Linked DNA regions of Medicago truncatula. The main gene of each other region encodes a partner of the protein of the gene in region 2 in a complex. Links are inferred from orthologs where the notes say so. Each region holds a gene or a part of one and is shown on either strand. Other genes may lie near its edges. The genes, in order: 30S ribosomal protein S6 alpha, chloroplastic; 30S ribosomal protein S17, chloroplastic; 30S ribosomal protein S31, chloroplastic; rps8.

Evidence for each region.
Region 1: 30S ribosomal protein S17, chloroplastic (region 2) and 30S ribosomal protein S6 alpha, chloroplastic share a complex: the UniProt entries of both Arabidopsis thaliana proteins name them as parts of the 30S ribosomal subunit. The link is inferred for Medicago truncatula from reciprocal best matches to the Arabidopsis thaliana genes RPS17 and AT1G64510.
Region 3: 30S ribosomal protein S17, chloroplastic (region 2) and 30S ribosomal protein S31, chloroplastic share a complex: the UniProt entries of both Arabidopsis thaliana proteins name them as parts of the 30S ribosomal subunit. The link is inferred for Medicago truncatula from reciprocal best matches to the Arabidopsis thaliana genes RPS17 and PSRP4.
Region 4: 30S ribosomal protein S17, chloroplastic (region 2) and rps8 share a complex: the UniProt entries of both Arabidopsis thaliana proteins name them as parts of the 30S ribosomal subunit. The link is inferred for Medicago truncatula from reciprocal best matches to the Arabidopsis thaliana genes RPS17 and rps8.

What each region holds. Positions count from the first base shown.
Region 1 is NC_053049.1:46,338,359-46,345,244, reverse strand, and holds 30S ribosomal protein S6 alpha, chloroplastic, read left to right. Parts: upstream 1-4,825; 5' UTR 4,826-4,932; coding exon 4,933-5,280; intron 5,281-5,715; coding exon 5,716-5,955; 3' UTR 5,956-6,175; downstream 6,176-6,886. Other genes in the region: uncharacterized protein, read left to right, coding at 1-239, 1,023-1,139, 1,268-1,384, 1,526-1,642, 1,949-2,005, 2,080-2,175, 2,305-2,360, 2,923-3,090. UniProt on the Arabidopsis thaliana protein: Binds together with bS18 to 16S ribosomal RNA.
Region 2 is NC_053043.1:49,900,847-49,906,539, forward strand, and holds 30S ribosomal protein S17, chloroplastic, read right to left. Parts: upstream 1,719-5,693; 5' UTR 1,680-1,718; coding exon 1,224-1,679; 3' UTR 951-1,223; downstream 1-950. UniProt on the Arabidopsis thaliana protein: One of the primary rRNA binding proteins, it binds specifically to the 5'-end of 16S ribosomal RNA. Required for optimal plastid performance in terms of photosynthesis and growth. Required for the translation of plastid mRNAs.
Region 3 is NC_053045.1:4,921,471-4,927,982, forward strand, and holds 30S ribosomal protein S31, chloroplastic, read left to right. Parts: upstream 1-3,904; 5' UTR 3,905-3,952; coding exon 3,953-4,124; intron 4,125-4,233; coding exon 4,234-4,298; intron 4,299-5,302; coding exon 5,303-5,437; 3' UTR 5,438-5,565; downstream 5,566-6,512.
Region 4 is NC_003119.8:40,832-47,079, forward strand, and holds rps8 (ribosomal protein S8), read left to right. Parts: upstream 1-4,896; coding exon 4,897-5,301; downstream 5,302-6,248. Other genes in the region: rpl2 (ribosomal protein L2), read left to right, coding at 148-576; rps19 (ribosomal protein S19), read left to right, coding at 748-1,026; rps3 (ribosomal protein S3), read left to right, coding at 1,467-2,111; rpl16 (ribosomal protein L16), read left to right, coding at 2,250-2,258, 3,307-3,717; rpl14 (ribosomal protein L14), read left to right, coding at 3,843-4,211; rpl36 (ribosomal protein L36), read left to right, coding at 5,728-5,841; rps11 (ribosomal protein S11), read left to right, coding at 6,174-6,248. UniProt on the Arabidopsis thaliana protein: One of the primary rRNA binding proteins, it binds directly to 16S rRNA central domain where it helps coordinate assembly of the platform of the 30S subunit.

The DNA.
Region 1 (6,886 bases), on a different chromosome or scaffold from region 2:
ACTGTATGATTTGAGCAAAAGACCTTTAGAACGTAGGTTTCTAAAGAAAGACGAAGTTATAAAAGCTGGTTCCTTAGTATATTTTGCTGGACATTTAGTTGATGTTGGAGAACCTGAGGGAAGTCATCAATCTCCAGTGAAGTTGAGTGAACTAGGGAGTGGTGGTGAAAATGTTGTTAAGACACAACAAAGACATGTACAAAAGGTTTGCCGCGAGCTCCATCCGTCTACTGCTAAAGGTTAGTCCTTGGTTATTCAGAAGTTTCTCTAAGTCATTGTATTGTTGTGCGATTCTGTACTTCTTTGCATGTCTTTTGATTGTTTTGAACTTACATATTCCCGTTGTATTATAACCACCCAAAAAAAAAGAAGCTCAGAAATTTCCGTTGACCTCACATAGTCCTTTTGCTCATTTAGTTTTCATGTGTTTTTTATAAGCTTCTGTCTTGTCTTTTCATTGTTACCCATTAATGACACCCATCTATCTCAGAAATTGAATGCAAAAGAATAAATATTAAATAATAATCATTTAGAAATAGAGAAAAAAACCTCCTTAAAATCAGTGAAATCGCAAGAGACAAAGAAGCTAAGATAAAAAGCACCTAATCTGTCTCTAGAAATAAAAGACTATTTGAATAGCATGATTTGATAAGAGGTAGCAATTTACTTATTGGTTTCATGTGATGAATCACAAACAACTTCAAATGTGCTATACATGCATGAATCAATGTGATTAATAATTTATTATCACTGCCATGAAAAATAAAATTATCAACAATTTGAATCACATGATTCAAGTTTCAACAATTTTTTTCTTGCATGTTCCAACCAATTCTCATCAAAATATTGGATAGTCAAGTGAAATTAACTTGTTACATGAAAAGAAACTAAAGGCGTCGTGCTATTGGTATTGGGTGCACCCTGATAAGTAGTGATAACCATGAGCAGGAAGCTTGTCTCAAATGAGATGTGGATAGGTTTTGATTTTTCACTCTCGCCTGTTTATGGTTAATACCATGCAGGACAACCTTCAAGCAGGCCCTGTCTTCGGCAAGGTGCAGGCTTAAACTCTCATTTTGCAGTGATAGAAGAGTTAAAAGCAAACAAGACAGTCCCAGTAGTCAAGCCTTTACATGATGGTTCGTACTTCGTACCTGCAGGCCTACATCATGGTGTACTCTTATATCCATGAGCAGGAAGCATGTCAATGAGATGTCGACAGGTTTTGATTTTTCACTCTCATGTGTTTATTGGTTATATATTGCAGGACAACCTTCGAGCAGGCCTTGTCTTCGTCAAGGTGCAGGCTTGATCTCTCATTTTGCAGTGATAGAAGAAATAAAAGCAAACAATACAGTCCCCGTAGTCAAGCCTTTACATGATGGTTCGTACTTTGTACCTCTGGCCTCGATTCTAATCTCCCTCGTTTACTTCTTTCTCCCCTCTTTAGTAGGAAGCACGAGTGAGCTTTGGACAGGTTTTGATTTTTTAGTACTCTCATCTGCTTATGGCTTATATCATGCAGAACAACCTCTGAGCCGGCCTTGTCTTCGGCGAGAAACAGGCTTGAACTCTCCATTTGCCAAGATAGATGTAATAAAATCAAACAAGACAGTCGAAGCAGTCAAGCCTATACGTGACGGTCCGTACCTCTGGCCTTGATTGAGTTCCATACTCATGCCGGCAGGCATCTCTAATTTTACATATTGAGGGAAAATATCAAAATATAACTTGGCAATACTATACTTTTACCCTCTAACATAAGATAAATTACGAGCTTACTAAAGTAAAATTGGATCACACCGATCATTCTGCGACAAAAAAACACAGGCATGTAATGCCTCTGATATAACATGGGGCTCTTCATCAACATTGCTGATCTCAATATGTCAATTCACTATTTGTTTGTTACTTCATGAACATTGACTGATTTCTGGTTTTTGTGCAGCCAATCAAATATTGTCCTTTTTACAAGACCCTAAGCCTCATGAATGTTATGTCGCAGGTTAGACACATAACCTAGTTAGATATCGAGCTCTCTTTAGGTCATAATTTCGTGACTATGTTGGATTTCTATAGGTAGCCGGTCTCCCAGTAGATCATATCAAAATATTATGGATAGGGAATCAACAGAGACTATGAAACCCCCTGATATTAGCACTACATCTACCAAAGGCAAGTCATGACGGATTTATTTGATTTCTTGGTCTTTTATTTTTATTTTGGGAAAATCTTATTAGCTATTCTTGTTGATTTTTGTGATGTTAGTAGCCCCGTTAACATTACTTAATTTGGGTTCTGCAGCAACATGTGTAGATGGTAATTTCCAGTTCACGGGGAATGTCAAAATGTCCCACCAGGTCTACTCTCTATCTGTTTGCATTTACTCAAGATGCCATTTCATATCATTGCTTTCTGTTGTGGATTAGACGTCATAAGGCAAATATTAATTCTTTCTTAGAGGATTGATTGAGATTTTTTTAAAAGTATTAAACAAAAAGTTAAGACCTATTAAGTGACTTTCTAGAATGGTGCTAGCAACACACTCTTTGATTGGTTAAAATTCACATGGTTCCCACCATATCATGTGGGTTCCATATGAATATTGACCAATCAAATTGTGTTGGAAAATGTGTTGCTAGCATTATTCTACTTTCTATTTCTTAATTTTTTTAACAAGTGGCCAAGAGTACAATTAGTCGGATTGTAATGATAATAGTGGCAGCTAGAATGCAGAATGTTCATGTGATTTCTATGGCATTAGTTTCATGCTTTCCATATAGCTGAGAACTTCTCTAAGGCGCGTTGTTTGGCAACGGGAGAAAAAGACTTTTGCTCTATGAATTTTGTTTGTTTTCTATATACTGAAAAATCATCAGCTGTCTCAAATTTATATACTTGGTTTTGAAATTGTATATGTAGCCTTACTCAGAAAAGGAAGCTCAGGAAAATATCAGTGATGCAAATTTTGACTTATTATTATCAAGTCCGGGTGGCGATTCTTCTTGCCCTATTTCCAATGAAGGACAGAGTGCCGAGGATATCTCGAGTGAAAGAGAAGCGTTCCCAAGCTTTGACCTTGGATTTTGACCGGTAATGCATTTATTTTTTCCTCATCACTTAAGGCAGGATGCCATCCTAGATGTTTTTATGTTCCTACTGCAACCTTTTGGCATTTGGCATATACCTTATACAACATAATCATATAAGATTGAAATGGCAGAAGAAACATTTCCCATCAATTTCCAAATACATGAGCTGATGTGTGTTGTTCTCTGTTGTTTCGCGCAGGCCAGCGTCTAGACAGTCAGCTAAATTTGATTACTATTTGTCTATATTAGAAATGAAAAAAGGATGGAGAGCTATGATGGTTCAGTGGCCAAGCAACACTCCTTTGCATCTTGCCATTCACTTTTATTTTTATTTGGCATAATTGCATGTTTGATCCCTTATGTTTATTTATAAAGTATTAAATTAAATTTAGAGAATCCCCGTGAATTTAGCTCAGTTGGTAAGGACAATGCATAATATATGCAAGGTCCGAGGTTCAAACCTCGGACCCCACAAAAAAAAAAATTAAATTTAGAGAATTTCAAATGTCCAAAAGCAAGGAAATTTCAAATTTCTTCCTTCTTATATTTTATTTTTCAAATTTTGCAAGTTGATCCCCATATTTTTCAAAATTTTGAAATTATCCCCTGAAAAATTTCAAAAAAAGTTGCAAATTGGGCTGATTTTTTTTTAAAACGACAATTGACCCCTCAAAATTTTTCAAAATTATAGTTTGACCCCCTTACAAATTTTGAAATCTGTTAATTGGCCCAAAAAAATAGAATTCATAAAGGTAGCCCAACAATGATACTTTTTGGATGAATTAAAATCATTTTGGTAAACTATATTGTTTGAATGATAATTTGGAGAATTGTTATATATAAAATTCATGATAATATTCTCAATATAATAAAAATATAAATTAGCAGAAAATATCTAAATAGAAATTATTTTAACTTCAACTCAATTTTTTCCTAAAAAAAAAACTTCAACTCAATTTTAATTAGGGATGATAAAATGGGTTGAACCTGTTTAACCCACATTTTTTAGCGAGCTGAGTTGGGATTTTGAACCAGCTACGTGGGGTGTTCGCTCCGCCTAATCAACTAAAAAATGGGGCGGTGATGAGGTGGGGTGGGTTGGCCCGTTAGATTAACATTTAAAAACAAACTCTCTTTTTTACTTCTTTTTATTTATATAAAAGTCACAACTCATAATTAATTTTTCAATTTTCTCCTCCTATATTGGGGAAAAAAGTTCAATTTATTTATCACTTTTGTTTCATGATTTTAGCCTCATATTTTTAACGGTTAGTCAATTGATTACTAAATTGTTTCATGATTTTAGCCTCATATTTTTTACGATTAATCAATTGATAACTCATGAAATTTTTATTTTGAATGTCTTATTGATTTATTATTGATTTTTATTTAGATGATGCAATTTATATGTTTGAATTATTTTCATATTTATAGAGGAGTCATTATACATTTAGATTTCCTTAAATTGACTTAAGTTTATATATTTTTACACTATTTATGTGAAATTTTTAATTAATATTTTTTAAAAAAACATTGACAGCTCAACATGTCAATCTTGTAAAACAGGGTATGGTAAGATTTTGAACCCTACATCTCTTGTGGCCTATTCCTTTTAGACGAGTTATTGACAAAACAAATCAAAATCAAATTTACAGAATCAATTTATTTAAAATTAATTTTTCTTTCTTTCATAAAAAAAATTAATTAATTTTTCTTATACCGAGTGAATTCTACACTGCGCTGTGTGCACGCACTGAGTTGGCCTTATCTGACTCTATCTTTTTTTTATCCGTTCTTTCGCTAACAGTTCATCTTCTTCTTCTCCTAAGCAGAAGCATCAATGGCATCCTCTTTACTCAATTCAATTCCACTCTCATCTTCTTCTTATCTCTGCACTCCTCACACATGTTCACCATTTCGTGCATTTCCTGAATCAATTTCCCACTTTCACCAAAACAGGAACAACTTTTCCATTAAATCACAAACCCTAGACTTCTCTGGTTCTTTCTTTGAAGGTGGATTTGGTTCGGGTGATGACCCGGTTACTCCCGGAACCGGGTTCACTGCTGTGGAAGAGAAAGAAGAACCGCAATGTCCACCTGGACTCAGACAGTACGAAACCATGGTTGTTTTGAGGCCTGACATGTCTGAGGATGAGCGTCTTGCACTCACCCAGAAGTACGAGGAGGTCAAATTCTTAACCTTTTTACTTCTTTCTCTTACCTTTTGTTTCTTAAGTTAATCCATTTGAAGCTTGATGATGAGTAGGTTTTATATATGTGTGTGATACTATACTAGAGGCGACCGTATTTGTTAGAATTGCAATCAATCCGCAAACTGAGAATTCGTATCAACAAACATACAATTGCTAAGGGCTGTCTGTACATGAATCAGTATAATTCTGTATCACACCAATACTAACTACATGATTCAGTGATTATTTTATTTGCATTCACTATGTTTGTTTGATTTGTTACCTTGTTTCCATTCTTTCAAAACAAACACTTTACACAGTCATTTCATTTCATTTCTCTGCTTTGTTCTTCTGAAAACATAGGCAGATAGGCTTTGTTCTTTTCTAATTGGAATAAAACACTAATCCTAACGATTTTCCTTCGTGCAGCTTCTTGTTGCTGGAGGTGGCATGTATGTAGAGGTTTTTAACAGAGGTGTTATTCCACTAGCATATAACATCCAGAAGAAAAACAAGGAAGGAGAAACCAACACGTATATGGATGGCATCTACCTCCTATTCACCTACTTCACGAAGCCTGAGTCCATAACCGCCCTTGAGCAAACATTATTGAGGGATGATAATGTTATCCGATCAACAAGCTTCAAAATCAGAAAAAGGAAATGTTAGTTTATTTTGGCATCTCCAGTAGCTCTGAAAAAAAGAATGTAACAATCATCATTTGTTGTTGTGGTATGTTTTCTTTCATTTTCATATGGATTCAAGTATTTTTGTAACAAGGTTGGATTAAACTAAAAGAGAGATGTAGGTGCTATTACTGGCAGTCTGCAGAGTTATAACACCTAGTACAAAGTGCTATATATTAGCCAATTTGCCATTCGGTTGTTCACATATCAAGTCTAAATTTTCATATTTAGAGGTAGAAGTTCATTTTGTTATCTTAAATCATATTAGGAAGAAAGTTTACAATGACTAGTGATGAATTGGAGAATAATATTGCTTAATTTCATAAATTGAGAAGGTGAAATGCATTTCTACAAAAAGTTATTAGAAAAAGAAATTACAAGAGAATGGATCAAATGGCCTGTAAATTTACCTTACAAGCGACTGGAGTTCCTTGGTTTTCAACCGGATGATAAAGTCATAGCAGTAGCAGGAGGGAACTGCTACATAGCAAATGGAAATAATTTATATTTATTTTTGCCGTAGTATAGATGTGCACTTTACCACTAGCATGTTGATTGTGACGCCGAAAATGCATGCATCTTCGTTACTTGAATATCAAAATATAAAATCGTTTATGACACCGTTTGTATTTATCTCTATCTGTCATTTACTTTAAATCTTCTACTTCTACAACTTACACACATTTAAAAAATACACAAAAATAAAAAATACAATTTACCATCAACATAATTGCACAACACACAATGCTAAATTCTGTAGAGAGATTTAGATTTTAGCTAGCTTAGGTTGCTGGCTTGCAATTTTTTTTTGCACTACACCATTTATTATCTGTGAATGAATAAACTAACATTACCTCTCTGATACTATTAATACCACAACCTTGCCGTTTAGAACTAAGGATTTTCTTTGTTAT
Region 2 (5,693 bases):
ACGCAATACTAAACACTGCCAGGTTGATTAGAAATAATAAAGTTTCAAAGATAGAACCTATTCTAACAAAAATCTAGATGTAGAGACTAGATGGTTCCAGCTAAAAATAACCATTTCACTAAACACAAAGCTTCAGCACAACAAAACAGTCAGAGAACATTGAAGAATCCTGGTTTTGCTTGTCACTTTTCTTTTTGAAACCCGGCACGGTTAGAACAATTCTTCCACAAATCGGCTTAAAAAACTCATCAAACATTATTTTAGTAAAATATAGATGTTTGATGACTTTCAAGCAAATTTATTTGACATTTGAATCCCATTTCAATTGGAAGTGATAGAACATAGTTTTTTCATGAGATATTTCTAACTTAGAGTAAAAACACTTTAAGTAAATAAATCATTTTCCTTTAAAGCCAATTTTGGTCAGATTAATTACAAACTCTAAGATAATTCAAAATCACATTTGTTAAACACTCACCCAAACACACGATCAACACCCAACCTACAGCTAAGAATTCGGGCTCTCTGCAATCAGAGTATCTATATCCTGACATGTGATGTAGAATGGACAATTCAAGAGCACTCCTCTTTGGAGGAGGATACTCCTGCTCCCGCCGGCACTTATGATCGCAGGCGTATGATGTGTCCGACACAACCCCAACACATGTGATTACATTGAATTGTGTCAATGTGTCAGTGTTGCGTCTGGTGTCCGTGTTTGTGTGTCGCGCTTCATACTATTAAAAATCTATTAAGCCCATTTGGATTGACTTATTTTTTAGCTTATGAAAAATAGTTTATGCAAATAAGCTTTATTAAAATTGTATCTTCATAAGTTGTTTTTTCATAAGCTACCTAAACAAGTTTATGAATAATACATAAAAGTTTATTTATTTGTATAAACTGTTTTGCTTGCATATGCTCAAAAATAAATCAACCCAAACGAGCCCTTCATCAAACACATATCCATTACACTAAACAATAAAATTCTCAACATAATTACACAACCATAGCAATTTCACAATTGAGGGTTTATCATAAACCACATCCAACATTTCAACAAACACCCACAAAGCAACATTAATCAAATAATAATTTTTCATAATAACAATAACAAATTAACAGCAACAACAATAACAACATCAATTTCTCAATTCCAATTTCATCATATTAGTACAAAAAATAAAAACACAACAAATTAAAGAGTGAGAGAGACTGCAAAACTAAGCCTGAGTCTGAGGCTGTTCTTCTTGCTCCGATTGAAGCGGAATGTCGAGGTCACCGGAAGAATTATTAGCCTTACCAGAATTCCTAGCAGGAACAGGAACAGCAAGAAAAGTCTTATTCTTACTAATAGGTCTAATTTTACAAAGCTGAACAACATCACCAACTTTGAAAACGTTTTCAGGATCATGAGCCTGATACTTCTTCTTCATCCTAATACGTTTCTTGTATTTGGGATGAGGTGCTAAACGAGTAACTTCCACCGACACTGTTTTGTCGTTGGTAGCGCACACAACTTTTCCTTCCATTGTTTTCATAGCTTTGATTGATGGAAGGGATTGGGGTTGGGATAGAGAGAGTGTGGATGTGGGCTTTGAGAGACGGGTGAGGGCGACGCCATTGTTGCCGTTGAGGAATGGTGTTGAGAGCGTGCTGGGAAGTTGCAGAAGCCACATTGTTGTGTTGTGTTGTGTTGTGTTGTGAAGAGATAAGAAGAAGATAAAACTAAATCTTTTATAGTGATTCATTCTCTTTATTTCTTTTATTTTATGCCTTACTTGTATTAAACTTTTATTGGCCAATTTTACCCTTCAATAACTATTAAAATAAGAAGTTGATTTAATAAATCATATAACTGATTCATTAAAAATAGGCTAAAATATGGTTTTAGTCCCTGCAAATATGCCTCGTTTTGGTTTTAGTCCTTGGTAAAAAAAAAATTTGTTTTTGGTCCCTGCAAAATGTTTTGTTTTTGAAAATAGTCCCTTGCAAGGACCTTTTTTAAAAACAAAATATTTTGCAGAGACCAAAAACTACAAAATTGGTTCAGTGATAATATGCCACGTATGCAAATCATCACAAAAGTGGGGTCAGGGACTATTTTCAAAAACAAAAAATTTTGCAGGGACCAAAAACAAATTTTTTTTTTACCAGGGACTAAAACCAAAACGAAGCATATTTGCAGGAACTAAAACCATATTTTAGCCTTAAAAATATGAAGAAACAAAGTACAAAAGATAACAAATCGAATCTATAATGATGTATGGATGATTGATACGTTCAAATATCAAGATAATTATCTAGGTAAAATCCTAAAAGTATAAAGAAGTGATTCTCTCAAATCTCTTCGATGAGACAGATTAGTCACTTTGTATACAAAGATATACAAGAGATACTTGTACTTTATCATATGTATCCTCACAACGGTTGTATATTTTGTTGTAGGTGGCATTTAACCTGGGAATGGATACTTCTTTCCCACCATGGGAAAGGTTCATTTCCCAGTACAGGTGGCTGTCTCAAACCTGTTCAAAAATATAAAAAAAAATGAAAATTAAATTAGTTTTTTAATCCTTTTTTGTTTTTTCTGGTACATTTGCTAATGTATAACACAGATGAATTTCATAACACAAATTACCTCACTCAATAATAATGTTTAAACTCATTTCATTCAACATTCATCATGTTTCCTTATAATTCCGGGACAGTAGAGGCTTGGTGTTGTTGTTGTTATTTGGTTTTTGCGGTACCATGACTTTAGGGTCTCGTGCTACTGTTCTTAGGTTTCTTCTCCCATTTGATATTGCTATAATTAGGGACTGTTATTGGCACTTGTAATGTTTCTTCTCTCCTATTATGCATAGCTTGTGCAGTGAGTGTTTGTTAATGATACGTTTGTTTAAAAATAAAAAAAAGGGTTAAGTTACGGTAATAAGGGGATGATACTTTTATTGAATTTCAAAATCTGGAAATACAAATTCTTAAAAAATGAATGAATAAAAATGAAAATGAAGATGATGATTTTAGGTTGTTGTTGTTATCATTGAGGAACCATGGATCTTGATGATGAAGAGTGGATATAGGATATTTAGTGATGATGGTGAAGAATGATGAAGAGTAGATCTATGATTTTGATTGTTATTTTTTGAGTTTTAATTTCTTACTGTTTTTTTTTTTCCTTCTCTTTCTGAGTTTGATGTTGATTAATGTATGAAGATGATGATGAAGGTAGAAAAGAGGAGGGTGGAAGAAGAGGAAGAATGGTGAAAAAAATTAATTAAAAAAAACAATAAATCAATAAAACAAATGATAAATTGTTATTTCATCAATGGTGGGTCGTTTTTTTTGGTCCACCATGTAACCATCAAAAAGTTACAACAATTACCAAGTCATAGATCTAAGCCACCCAAATAAAAAACTATTAAATCAATGGTTGTGGTTAAACTTTCCCATGATAGGAAAGAACTTCCCTTTTCCATATTAAACTTCACCCTTGTTGTATTCTCCAACAATAGGATTCTAGAACTTATATAAACAAAACCTACTCGCGTCGAGAGAGTTGTTGTTGTTGCTATCATCACTTATGTTTCAATCACCATATCATTTTATGTGAAGATCAACAATTAGTGTTCAAAACACCCCACCTAAAAGAAAAAAGCTTATATTATTATTTAAAAAATAAATCTAGTTAAAGCCAATAACATGATTTAGGAACTTTGTGAAACGTCCTCTCGAGTGAGAATTGTCTAGATCATTTGTAAATCAATCAAGAAGATAGAAGTACTCTTGAATTGAGACATGATTTTTATGTAATATCCTCTCTTAGATAGTTATCATCCTAGAATGATTTTGTATTAGTCATATACGAACTCAAACCCCACTTTACTTTGCACCCATTTTACTATACTGCACAGACCTTAAAGACCAGACCTCACTTGGTGTGAGATGACGGATAGACTTAACTAAGTCATAACCATTGTTGGTAACTCATATGGTTATGCAACCGGGTAAGTGATATGATCAACGTGGTTGGAAAACCGGATAAATGATGTGGTTATCATGGTTGGTAACATGGTAAATGATAGGGGTGATGGATTTTGACAAGATTGATGCTTCGTGAAATATTGGGGTGGATAACTCTTGAGGAGATTATAGTTAAAGAAGTCTCTCTTGTTGAGATGACAAAATCACTATGGATAAGGTGGACTAGCTATCAGATTGACAGTGAACAAGGATGAATTTGGTGTATCCTCTCTCTCAATGCATATGTCGAGTTCTTTATAGTTTAACTTCACATTGTCTCTTTAGTTTTAAAATAAAGTATTTTAATAGATAAAAGAATTATTGTGTTCAACTTTTAGTAAACAAGTCGACTTAATAGAAATGGTTAAATTAAAAAGAAAAAAAATCGGCAACACGATTCAATCTCCCCTCTCTTGTGTTCTTTACCCACCTTCAAATGTGATCACCATAGATCATTGAAATTGAACTGACTTTCTATCTCTGTTAACAAAATCATATGTTGACGTACTTCTTTATACATCATAAGTTAGTATTGTAAGATTCACTTCTCTATACATCATAAGTTAGTATTGTAAGATTCAAATTTGAATGAGAACTTCTCATTCTATTCGCAAAACATAGGTTGAGGTTTTTTTCATTTTTATTCTTCTCCGAGAGTATATAAAAAAAAGAGTAATGATATTTGAACAACCTTTTAGTGACAACTTTTGTGACAACCTACCTTTTCTCTCTTTTTATTGGTCAAAAACAATAGAGAGAGAGAGAAAAAAAAAAAAAGGGAAGAGAGAGAATAAGAAGATAATGTGATTATGAGAGAAGGTTGTACAAAAGTTGTCATAAAATGGATGTACAAATATCATTTATCTAAAAAAAAAATGTTAACGAGTGTCATCGGAATACTTTTTAAACACCTTTAATAATAAGTTTTTATAAAAATCTATATAATTAATGCATTAGAATTTGTAACATTTGATTTTTTTTAAAGAATATTTTTAAAATTTGGGATCTCCCCAAGACACTCGTTAACAAAATCCATAAAAAAACTAAGTGGGAATTGTTTTTAAAAGACAAGATTTTCATGATTTTTTTTTTGTCAATCCATGGTTTTAAAATAAAAAGTAAATTGTTGAACAGGAGCTTCAATTTTCAAAATTTAAAAAGAAGTGGATATTGAATCTGAAACACAAAACAAGTCAAACCATTTTACTTATATTTTCCAACAATGGGCACTGATACCACTTGAATATGTTGGAAAAACACGACAAAAGGGGATTTGAATTATGTTAATCATTTTAAAATCTTTTCGCAAAGACATGTGTTTAGTTAAACCATAGTCGTTTTTCAAATTAATTTTAACAACCACGTTAGTTCTTATTCAAATCATTTAACTCCATGTGCAATGCTTAGATAAAAAGGTGAAGTTAAATCACAAAGAAGCACTGCTTAGTAAGTTTTTGAATAAAAGAGAGTAAGAGAAATGAGATGACACAATATGTATATACTAGTTAATCATCCAACGATAGCTAGTCCAACCCATCCCATGAGATGCACTTAATACACTACAGATTGGAATGACAGTTGAATCTCTTGTCCCACAAAATATACCCACTTGAAGAAAAACTTAAAATTAGGATGGAATTTTGGGTCAAAAATATTTTATGTCGCAA
Region 3 (6,512 bases), on a different chromosome or scaffold from region 2:
AATTTCTATGAATGTTCGGTTTTTCTTCCCTCGCTAGGCACACAAAACATCGCTTAGCGAATTGAAGCAAAAAATTAACTTTCGAAAAAAAAAATTAGATTCGCTAGGCAAACATGTCCTTGCATACCGAAGTCAAGCTCCATTTTAGAGTCAGAATCCCTCTCTATTAGGTTTGGTTTTAGAATTTCAGAACCCTTACAAATAGAGGTGCAGGTTATCATTTGAAGTCAAGCTTGCCTAGCAAATCAAGGTTTCTTCAAAGGAGGGAAAAGCCAACAGTCTTTAGATATTTTCTTGAACCGCCTTAGTTCACTTAGCGGATCCAATTTTGCCTAGCAAATCATATTTGGCTTTTCCTTTTGGAACTCATTGTTTTGGCTCGCTTTCACCATGTCAAGCTCGCCTAGAGATCGTGTTTTTCACCATATGTCTTTGGGATGCTCTGACTTGGCTTCTGGCGCGTGTGATTGCCTTCTTTTACTCTGTATTGGTGTAGTCATGCTCAAAACCTATAAAAATGTATGGGAAATAGAAGTAATATCTTTGTGGCACAATTTACGAATATAAATGATATTTATATCAAATTTGGGGGTTTTATACTGAATTACTTACAAAACAAGTTGATAAGTGTTATAGAAAATAACAGTAATTTGACACTTATCAAGTGACCTGATGCATGTTGGTGAAATGTACAACGATAATCTAGAGGGGTGAATAGATTACCCAACAAAAACATGGTTTTGAGATTTTCTTTGAAAAACGAAATTGAGTTTGAATATTGGAAATTGACAATCGTTTCAATCATATAAAGTATGTGTTTGGAATACCGGTGGAAAGCTCAAAAAAGCACTTTTAGGCAAAATCTGGAATTTTCAGCTTCATAAAATCACTGTAAAAGTGACATTATGTAGCGTGCACCGTGAAAAAAAATGTGATGCCAAACACTGCTAAAGTATGCAATGACAAATAACAATTCAAATTTTTTTTTTTAATATAAATAACAATTCAAATTTGAACAAGTAATTCACACTTGAATTATATCTATTCAAACAATCACTAATACACAATCAAGATATAAAAGACAATCCAATCTTAAATCAAACCTAATTGGATGAGAACAAAAACTAACACAGGAGACAATAGTATTTGATATATGATGATTAGATTGAAGTGTTCATATCAACAATTCAAAATGATTGAAGTCTCAATTTAGGTTAACAAAATTTGTTCACAAAGGAATTTCAAATTATTCACTCACTTATCAAGTATCAATTTACCTAATCAATAATTATCATATATCAAATAATAGTTTGCGAGAATTAAAAGAGAAGGGAGAAGAAGACATTGATTTACAGACATCTCCTCTATGGGTTTCTACGGCCTTCAATTTCCGAATCCAAGTGATCCTAAATTTTTAAGTTCCCTTGAGCTTTGACTAGTTCTAACATTGCACAACCTTTATGGACCCAAGTAGACTTAATAAAATATTTGACTAACTTGCATTCAGTTGTATTTCTATCTAACAAGTTATTTATTTTTAGGTGTAAATAATAACTAAGAACAATTATAGTATTTTCTAGTACAACTAGGTTATTTTTTTGATAAAAGTTTCACTTTACTCACTTTAGTGGATTGAAATCCTATCCAAAAACTTCTAAAAAAAATTAGATTTTTTTATGAAAAAGAAAAGTAATTCATTTAACTAAAAAAAGAGTACAAAAGACTGGGGGCAAAAACCCGACCCAGTATAACCACACAAAAGTAGGGCTGAGCAATAGACAGTTTCGGTCAAATTCAGGCCCCAAAGTGTCGATAAGAGATCAGAAACAAAACCATTTTTGATCGAATGAGACAACAGGTAATTCGGGTGACGGGTAAGATGGGTGACGGGTATCTTGGGAAGTTTGTTTCAGTTGAGACCATAGAAAATCCTCATTTTCCTTTTCTCAAGTTTCAAACAGCCACACCGGTTGTTAGTAGGTGGTTCACCGACATCATCATGTCGACGCCACTCGAAGAGGATTAAGATTGCATCGGTAGTTTTTCTTCTGTGTGGACAATATATCGTAGCACATGTGCAAAGCCATTGTAAGCATTCGTCACATGGTGGAGGATGTTCGCGACGACCTTGAGTGTAAGAGAGCAAGTAAATTTTGTTGAAATAAGAAATCTTCAAAATAAAGGGTTTACACAAAACCAAACTTGAATGGAAAATTGAAATTCTTTTAGAATTGAAAATGTAATACAGTTTGTTTAACTTTAAAGATAAAAGAAAAGTGGAACAAAATATTGTTTGCGTGTTGAAAGTTTAAAAGAAAAATTAATGTTTGTGTCAAATTATAGTTTCAAGGCAAGACAAGTAATAATCGAAGTCTTGAAAAGTTGAAATCCATAATTGTGTACTCGATTTGCTTTTAAACCCGACTGTTTCCCCCATAAAGCTGACGTTTGGATGGGTTTTAGGCAGGACAAGGGTTTATGCACACCCCCACACAAAAGTGATCGAATCATCCCTGACAAACAAATATACAACACAAAGATGGTATCGAACCTATCCTAAAGGGTAATGAATAGAAAATACGATCTTGAATGGGATAAGAACAATCACCATAACTGATGGTTCAACATAATCCAAACCCGAAGCATCATACACTTGTTGCATAACCCAACATACCTGCAACACAAGTGCAAAACCAAATTGCAAAGAAAAAAAAATTAAATAAACCTGTGACGAATTTTGACAAAGCATCAACAACTTCAAGCCCAAAACACATGACACACATTGTACTCGAATTAAGAAAACAATAACTCAAACGCAGCACATGTGAGCATTAACTCACATAGACATCAATCCGCGCAACATTGGTCAAGGAAAACCAACATGGCGATCACTAAAACAAATGACAATGAACAACAAGCCCATATATGAATTAACATTAGATCCAACGCAAAATTAATTCGTATTGAACAAAGAATCCAGGAACTTAGAAACACAAGAACCAAAGGCGGCTAAAAAGTTGAGCGAACTAGCAACAAACAAAGCCATCGAGATTCGTAGATACGGATGAGAACCCAACTTCATATCGAAGGCACCATTTTAGATTAGGAACCAATCATTAAAGCGCGATAAAGAAAGAACCCAACATATGTCGTGACGGTGGAGGGCGATTGCACCACCAGTCAAAGGATCTACATTTCAACAAAAAAGTTTTGGATTGTAAGGAAAAAGTGAAAAAGACTAAGTGTGCTGCGGTAAAGAGTTTGAAGAAGAAAAAGAAGAGAAATCTTCTCTCTTTGTAGAATTTTCCCAAATATGTTTCAAGCTCAAAAGAAAAGTAATATTAAAATATCTCAATTAAACAAATTAATTTTTGGTTAAAAAATTAATATTTCTTTTAAAAAAATATATATTTTGAAGAGAAAAAAAAAAGTTTTAATTGCACTTTCGGTCTCTTATCTTTTCAAAAGTTGTGATTTTAGCCCCCTAACTAATAAAAATACAAAATAGTCCCCTATGTATTGGATCTTTGGTAGTTTTGGCCCCTAAGATCACTTTTGACTTAGTCTTCGCTGACGTGGCATCCACATCCCTTAAGTGAGGTGCCACGTGTCGACCATTGTGGATGTCACGTCAGCGAAGACTAAGTCAAAAGTGGTCTTGGGGGCCAAAACTGCCAAAAATTCAATACATAGGGGGCTGTTTTGTATTTTTATTAGTTAGGGGGCTAAAATCGCAAGTTTTGGAAATATAAGAGGGCAAAAGTGCAATTAAGAAAAAAAAAGACAAGTATTTGAAATTTCATGAAAAATGGACAATATTTAAAATTGACCATTGATGTAATTTACTAATTAGATGTTCATTCTAAACCATTGGATCTAAAAAATCGCAGCACATATATTCCTCAATCAAACCAACCTTATCAAAGTGCCTTCGTTATCTATCCTCTCAGTTATGGCCATGGCATCATCACTGCTTCTAGCATCACCTTCTCCACTCTCTCTTCAACTCCACGCTTCCTCTTCTCACCTTTCCTTCTCTCAATCCCAATCTCTTCACTCACCACTCATCACTTCATCATTCCCTACCCTCTCTTCAACCTTGTCTCTTTCACCAACCCCTTCTGGTAACTTTTTTCTCCAAAAAAAATGGAAATTTTGTTGTGAATTTGGCTTATTGTATTTGAATTTTGATGACCCAGTTATTGATTTTGGTTCTTTTTTGTTTTCTTGTAGTGTATTGTGGCAGAGGTGATAGGAAAACTGCCAAGGGCAAACGGTTCAGCCATTCGTTTGGAAATGTAATGTTCTTTTTTCCCAATTCCCCCACTTATTTCAATTATTGAGTGTATGTTTGGTTCCAACATGAATTAGTTTTGTTAGAATTGATTTTAGTTAAAAGTGACTTTATCATAAATTTATCATGTTTTACACATACATTGCTGTAAAAGTGATTTATTTTTTTTAAGAATCAAGTGTAGTATCTTATCTTATTTTGAATTAACAAGTGATTCTTAATTCATAGTATTATTTTGGATAGTTTGACTGATTGAATTAAGTGTAGTGTCGTATCAGTTTAATATTTGATATGTGAGCCAATGACGCATGATGTTAAATTTATTTCTTGTTGACGCATGATGTTAAATTTATCATGTTTTACACATACATTGCTGTAAAAGTGATTTTTTTTTTTTAAGAATCAAGTGTAGTATCTTATCTTATTTTGACTTAACAAGTGATTCTTAATTCATAGTATTATTTTGGATAGTTTGACTGATTGAATTAAGTGTAGTGTCGTATCAGTTTAATATTTGATATGTGAGCCAATGAAGCATGATGTTAAATTTATTTCTTGATGGGGAGATTCCACCGATACTTGCCTCTCGCGCGTTGCTTTGAGTGGCACTATACCATTTCTTTGACGCACCCCAACTAAGAAAAGAAATTGTTTGAATCAAAATTGTTTTTGGATGTGATTCATATTAACATTAAAGTAATTCTTCCCTTTTTGTTTTGCTAAATTATTAGTGTTGAATGTGTTTTCAGTCTTTATAATTTATATTTTTTGTTTTTAGTCATTGAACCGATTTTTTTGTCCTAAAAAAGGGACTAAAAACATACATTTTAGTAATTTGTAGGATTGAAAGGTTAATACTGATCCTAAAAACAAAATTCGAAATTATTAAAGCACTGAAAACATATTCAATCTTTATTATTTGTCGTGGATATTTGTTGAAATTGTAGTGGATGTTGTGGTGAATACTTCCAAGGTTATTTTGAAAAATATGTTATTTGATGTTATCAGGCAAGGCCGAGGAACAAGAACAAGGGTACAGGACCACCAAGGATTTATGCTCCACCAGATGCTACCAAGAAAGAGAAGCTTGAAGATAAGGAAGTGATTGAGATTGAAATTAATGAATCCCTTTTTCCTAGTTAGTTGATTTTAGTGTTGCACTGTAATTTTGAGAGTTTCATGATTTATAGTTTTTGACATATGGATTCCATTTGGCATATACTATTTGGATTTTGCTTGTTATCCTTATTTGAGTTCACTTTGCAACCTTATTTTAGTCTCTATTATGTAAGCTCTTGCTATATCGTATTGAGGGTGGGATTGGAAACACTCTTATAGTCGAGGTTTAAAATCCTGGTCACAGTTTGCGAAAAAGTTGTAGGCAAATACTGCCAATTCGGTCATAATTTTTGTCGCGATGTGGTTGGGAAGACATCAAAAACCTCGATGTCGTGGATTTTTCTCCTTAGGATCTGTGCTGTTGTAGATGTCTAACAACCAAACAAAAGTTTCCTATGGGAAAAAATGGTTAGGAACGTTGGTAGAGTGATAGAATCCAAAAATGTTGGAAAGGTCATGTTTGTTGAATTAAACCTTTGCTTCTGCAACGTGTATGCTGTTGTTACACAGTCACTCTTATGCGCTCAATTTCGGGCATATGTTGCATGGTTTTTCATTATTTGCATTATACTTTTATGGTGTTGTTTGATTCATGTTGTCAACCCAAGACTTTGGTTGTTACTGTCTTCTTAGAATACTTTTAGACATGTTAGAGTTAAACAACTTAGAAGAGAGATGAAGATACCGACTAGTTTATTACCATTGAAGATCGAAAGGAAAAGATCAGGCAGATTTAAATGCACCAGAAATTGTTGCATCTGTTTTTATCGTCTTTGTTAGCTTCATCTTCTTCCTGTTGTTTGTCATCTAATGATATTAGGATAGTATAAGTTTGTTATTGTTTATGAAGAGAAGAGACACATATCTGTCTTTGTTATTTGAACTGGATAATGCTGGTTTGCAAAGATTCGAGCTTTGGTTTGAATTTGTGTTTCGGTTTGGAAGTTCATAACAATATTTGAAGCCAGAGTGTGCTTTTGCTCAAATCACATTGAAATTCCCATTTTTCGTCTCAACAACCATTACCACAAAAATGTTATACTTTTGCAAATGACACAATTATTTGAGACGACTGTTCCAGTGATACTTCTTTATTGAA
Region 4 (6,248 bases), on a different chromosome or scaffold from region 2:
TAATATAAGAATTATACAATATATATATAAGATCCAGCTGTATAGATATCATAATCTACATCCAGAAAGCCGTATGCTTTGGAAGAAGCTTGTACAGTTTGGGAAGGGGTTTTGATTGATCAAAAAGAAGAATCTACTTCAACCGATATGCCCTTAGGCACGGCCATACATAACATAGAAATAACACTTGGAAAGGGTGGACAATTAGCTAGAGCGGCTGGTGCTGTAGCGAAACTGATTGCAAAAGAGGGGAAATCGGCAACATTAAAATTACCTTCTGGAGAGGTCCGTTTGATATCAAAAAACTGCTCAGCAACAGTAGGACAAGTAGGGAATGTTGGAGTAAACCAAAAAAGTTTGGGCAGAGCCGGAGCTAAACGTTGGTTAGGTAAGCGTCCTGTAGTAAGAGGAGTAGTTATGAACCCTGTAGACCATCCACATGGTGGTGGTGAAGGGAGGGCCCCGATTGGTAGAAAAAAACCCTCAACTCCTTGGGGTTATCCTGCACTTGGAAGAAGAAGTAGAAAAAAAAATAAATATAGTGATAATTTGATTCTTCGTCGCCGTAGTAAATAGTCTAGAGTAGAGAAAATAGAATTTGTTTCTTCGTCTTTACAAAAGAAAAGAGTGATTTACTATGACATTATATGATTTGATTTTGTTTTTTTAGAGATTATATAATTTTATTTTTTAAAATATAAGAGAAAAAATTCACTTTTTTAGAAATTATAAGAGGAATAATTAACTATGACACGTTCACGAAAAAAAAATCCTTTTGTAGCAAATCATTTATTAAAAAAAATAAATAAGCTTAACACAAAAGGAGAAAAAGAAATAATAATAACTTGGTCCAGAACATCTACCATTATACCTACAATGATTGGCCATACCATTGCTATCCATAATGGAAAAGAGCATTTACCTATTTATATAACAGATCGTATGGTAGGCCATAAGTTGGGAGAATTTTCACCTACTCTAAACTTCCGGGGGTATGCGAAAAATGATAATAGATCGAATCGTTAACATTAATTTTAAGGTAAATTTAGTATACTAATAGTCATTAATAAATAAATATTAATTAATAAACTCATTTCATTTTTTCGTGAAAATATAACCTTAGGAGAAAGAAGAACCAATACATAGAAGTATAAGCCTTTGGTCAAAAAATATTTGTGTCTATTCACAAGACAAAGCGCGAATCGTAATTCATAATATTTCTATTTTTAAAGGGTTATTATAATAGAAATTATGCTTTATGGAGTTGAGCATATTATTCTATTTTTTTTTTTTGAATTGCTTTATTCTGCAGGAGAAAATGCTAGTCACAATATATAGTTCAACGAACTAAGTCAATGAGTCATAAAGATATATAATATTTTTTATATAAAAAAAGTAAAAAAAAAGATATAGATAAAAAAGTAGACAAATAAGACGTATTATTTTATATAGAGTAGTGAGGAATTATGGGACAAAAAATACATCCGCTTGGTTTCAGACTTGGTACAACTCAAAATCATGATTCTATTTGGTTTGCACAACCAAGAAATTATTCCGAGAATCTAAAAGAAGATAAAATAATACGAGATTGTATCAAGAATTATATACAAAAAACCCCCGGTGTCGAGGGAATTGGACGAATAAAGATTAAAAAAACAATCGATCAGATTCAAGTCATAATCTATATGGTACTTCCAACGTTATTAACGGAGGGTAAGCCTCGAAGAATCGAAGAATTACAGACTAATGTACAAAAAAAACTTAATTGTGTGACGCGAAAAATTAACATTACAAGTACAAGAATTCCAAATGCTTATAGCGACCCTAATATTCTTGCAGAATTTATAGCTGGACAATTAAAGAATAGAATTTCGTTTAGGAAAGCAATCAAAAAAGCTATTGAATTAGCTGAACAGGCAGGTACAAAAGGAGTTCAAGTACAAATTGCGGGACGTATCGACGGAAAAGAAATTGCACGTGTCGAATGGATTAGAGAAGGTAGGGTTCCTCTACAAACCATTCGAGCTAAAATTGATTATTGTTCCTATCCAGTTCGAACTATTTATGGGGTATTAGGAATCAAAGTTTGGATATTTCTAAACAACGACTAATTTACTTTTCCTTATTTTTAGCGTTCCATCTTTTGATAAAAGAAAAAATGACGAATTCTTATTCCCAAAAAAGAAATGACAAATTTTATAAGATTGAATAAAAAAATTGATTAATCATTTTATAGTAAAGGAGTTGCTATGCTTAGTGTGTGACTCGTTGGTTTTTTTTAGAGTGGTTAAATTTCTACAAGAATTCGTAGAATTAATTACTAAAGAATTAATAACCTACTCATCGCTTACCATTATCTGGATATAAAGAACCGCGGAAAATAGAAAATCAAAATAAAGATCTATGTGGTGATATAATTATAGCAACTGAAATAAAAAAGAATCTGATTATTAGTTGTAAAGCAATAAGAATATACAGATAAATGAAGGGGTGAAAGAAAGATAGAAAAAAAGATATCAATGATATAGAATTCGACTATGTAAAGGTCTATGGGTCATTTCGTAAAAGGTAGTGTAATAAAGCATCAATATTCTAAATTCATCCATATATGGATGAATATATTCGTAGAATAGACAAATCAAGAGCTGCGAATCAATAAAACTGAGAAGGTTGATTCAACAAAAAAGAATAAAATAAATAAGAAAATTTTATGAAAATAAAATCTTATTAATATTAAAGAGGCTCCATTGTAGAATTTAGACCTAACCATAAATAGAAAAGCGATGGGAACGATGGAACCTGTGAATACCTAAGATTATATTAAATTTCATAATCTTACTGATTCATTAGATGGGATGGCGGACGGAACTAAGAATTCATTATTTTTTGAGGAGTTGTGGACTAACCCAACATTACATCTTAAATTTATAATGAAAGAGTAAATATTCGCCCGCGAAAATGTGGATTTTTTTGAATTTAGAAATTTTTGCCAATATGATAATAAAAAAAAAAAAAGACAAATATGGATTCGTTAGAACCTTATATCAAAACAACATTATCTAGTTAGATATGGATAGCAAAAATGGTCTATAAGAATCCATATTTGGTTCTATATCAAAGCAAGATATACAAATTTCTAATATGTCAAAAAATCCCGCGATTGTATTCTATTTTAAATTTAATATTGTAATTTAAAATTAAATTTTTTTTGGTTAAATATTTTTGAATCGATTTATTCGCGAGGAGCCGTATGAGGTGAAAATCTCATGTACGGTTCTGTAATAGAGATGGAATTGAGAAATAACCATCAACTATAACCCCAAAAGAACCAGATTCCGTAAACAACATCGAGGAAGAATGAAAGGAAAAGCCTATCGAGGTAATACAATTTCCTTCGGAAAATATGCTCTTCAGGCACTTGAGCCCGCTTGGATCACATCTAGACAAATAGAAGCAGGGCGACGGGCAATGTCACGAAATGTTCGCCGAGGTGGGAAAATATGGGTACGCATATTTCCAGACAAACCTGTTACAGTAAGACCTACCGAAACGCGTATGGGTTCGGGAAAAGGATCTCCCGAATATTGGGTAGCTGTCGTTAAACCCGGCAAAATACTTTATGAAATGGGAGGGGTCCCAGAAAATATAGCTAGAAAGGCTATTTCAATAGCGGCATCCAAAATGCCTATACGAACTCAATTCATTCTTTCAGAATAATCATTAGAACGAAATAGGTCTTTAGTATGAAAAAAATGGTAATTGTTGGTTTCTTTTTTTTTTTTTTTGAACACAGAATATTTTTTTTACTTCAACTTTTTGACTGAAAGATAGAAAAAAATGATATGATTCAACCTCAAACCTATTTAAATGTAGCCGATAATAGCGGAGCCCGCGAATTGATGTGTATTCGAATCATAGGAGCTAGTAATCGACGGTATGCTTATATTGGTGACATTGTTGTTGCTGTAATCAAAAAAGCAGTACCAAATTCATCTTTAGAAAGATCTGAAGTGATCAGGGCTGTAATTGTACGTACTTGTAAAGAACTAAAACGTAGTAATGGTATAATAATAAAGTATGATGATAATGCGGCGGTTCTCATTGATAAAGAAGGAAATCCAAAAGGAACTCGAATTTTTTCCGCAATAGCCCGAGAATTGAGACAGTTAAATTTCACTAAAATAGTTTCATTAGCACCCGAGGTATTATAATACGAGATCGTGATATAGATATATTATTTAGGACTGGAATGAATAGGAAGGAAATCTATTTGAATATATATTTGAATAGAAGTGAAATAGAGTCCTAAATATATTAGATCTCACATATATACCTTATATACTTGTGTAATCATTATTCTATAATTATGAATATTTATATTAAGATTATTACATAAATATGAAAAGTATACATATCGATAAGTTATTAGAAATAGTAAGTCATTATATTAATTAATAAATATTTTTAAAACGAAATAATAATAATAGATGAAAAAAAAAAAAGAAAAAGGAATGAAATCTATATATATATTGAATATATATATAGATATAGATAGATTCAAAATACAAATTCGAATTCAGAATTCTATTTGTATTTTTTTTTTATACTTTATACAAAATACAAATAGAATTCTGAATTCGATATAATATTATCTATCTAGTTTATAATTTATAATAGGTCATTCATTCATTTTCTTTCTATCTTTTTTTAGTTTTAGAATATTCTATATTATAGATTTACATTATACTGATTAGACTAATTAGAATTTTCTATCTATATATAGTATTATTATATTCTCATATTCAATATATGATATTTTATTGAATCAAAAAAAAAAAAAAAAACAAAAAACAGGAGCACGTTTATTATATCGAAAGTAAGGAGCAATAATCTATCGTGGGTAAAGATACTATCGCTGATATGCTAACTTTGATACGCAATGCTGACATGAATCGAAAAAGAACGGTTCAAATACCACTTACTAATATCACCGAAAACATTGTGAAAATACTTTTACGAGAGGGTTTTGTTGAAAACGTTAGAAAACATGGAGAAAGCAACAAATACTTTTTAGTTTTAACTCTACGGTATAGAAGAAATAGGAAAGAATCGTATAAAACTTTTTTAAATTTAAAAAGGATCAGTACACCTGGTCTACGAATCTATTCTAACTATCAACAAATTCCGAGAGTTTTAGGAGGAATGGGGATTGTAATTCTTTCTACTTCTAGGGGTATAATGACAGATCGAGAGGCTCGATTAGAAAGAATCGGCGGCGAAGTTTTATGTTATATATGGTAATGGTAAATTTGCCGATATCCGATTTCTATGAAAAAATTATATACATTATTGTAAATGGAGTAGAGAAAAAATGGATTTCTACTATGTACTCCTGATACCTTAGTGAATGTGTGAAGAGGATTTAACTAGAATAGAAATAAAAATTCATGAAGATTAAATTACTGAATAACTTCTGAGGGTATGTTCCATGTTAGAGAAATAGAATTTAAATAAAATTCTAGGCTATGTTTACAAAAAAATTGAACGTACTTAATGTATACGACCGGTAAAGGAGAAAAAGGAAGTATAAGTCACTTAATTTAATTTTTTAACTTTAAACATGTTTTTTAGGAGGCACAATTATAAGTTAAAAATGTAAGGAAAACCTATTTTCTTCGAATATATAGATTTGGCATTCCATTTTAGTTAAGGAGTTAATTTAAAAATATGAAAGTAGGAGCCTCTGTTCGTAAAATTTGTGAAAAATGTCGATTGATACGCAGGCGAGGTCGAATTATAGTAATTTGTTCCAACCCAAAACATAAACAAAGACAAGGATAATATTTTAACAAAAAAAGGGCTTTCTATTAAAAAGAAAGTACCAAATGTACAAAAAAAAAAAAAATGATATTAAAATTCAAATAAAAAATCTTATTAATATTCCATTTTCTTAAATAGTAAACAAAAAAATCTAAACATTTAGATTCTATATTAGAATTTAGTTGATAATTATAAGTATTCTAATTATTGCTTGATTTCAAAAATTGTATTCTATATTAATCGAATTATAGAATACAATAGAATAACTAGTTAAACAAGAGTAAAGAATTCTTTTTTGATAGGAAATGGATATATCCATATATTTCAGACTTATATTTTTTAAAATAATAAAAATGGCAAAATCTATACCAAAAATTGGTTCACGTAAAAATGGACGTATTGGTTCGCGTAAACATCCTCGTAAAATA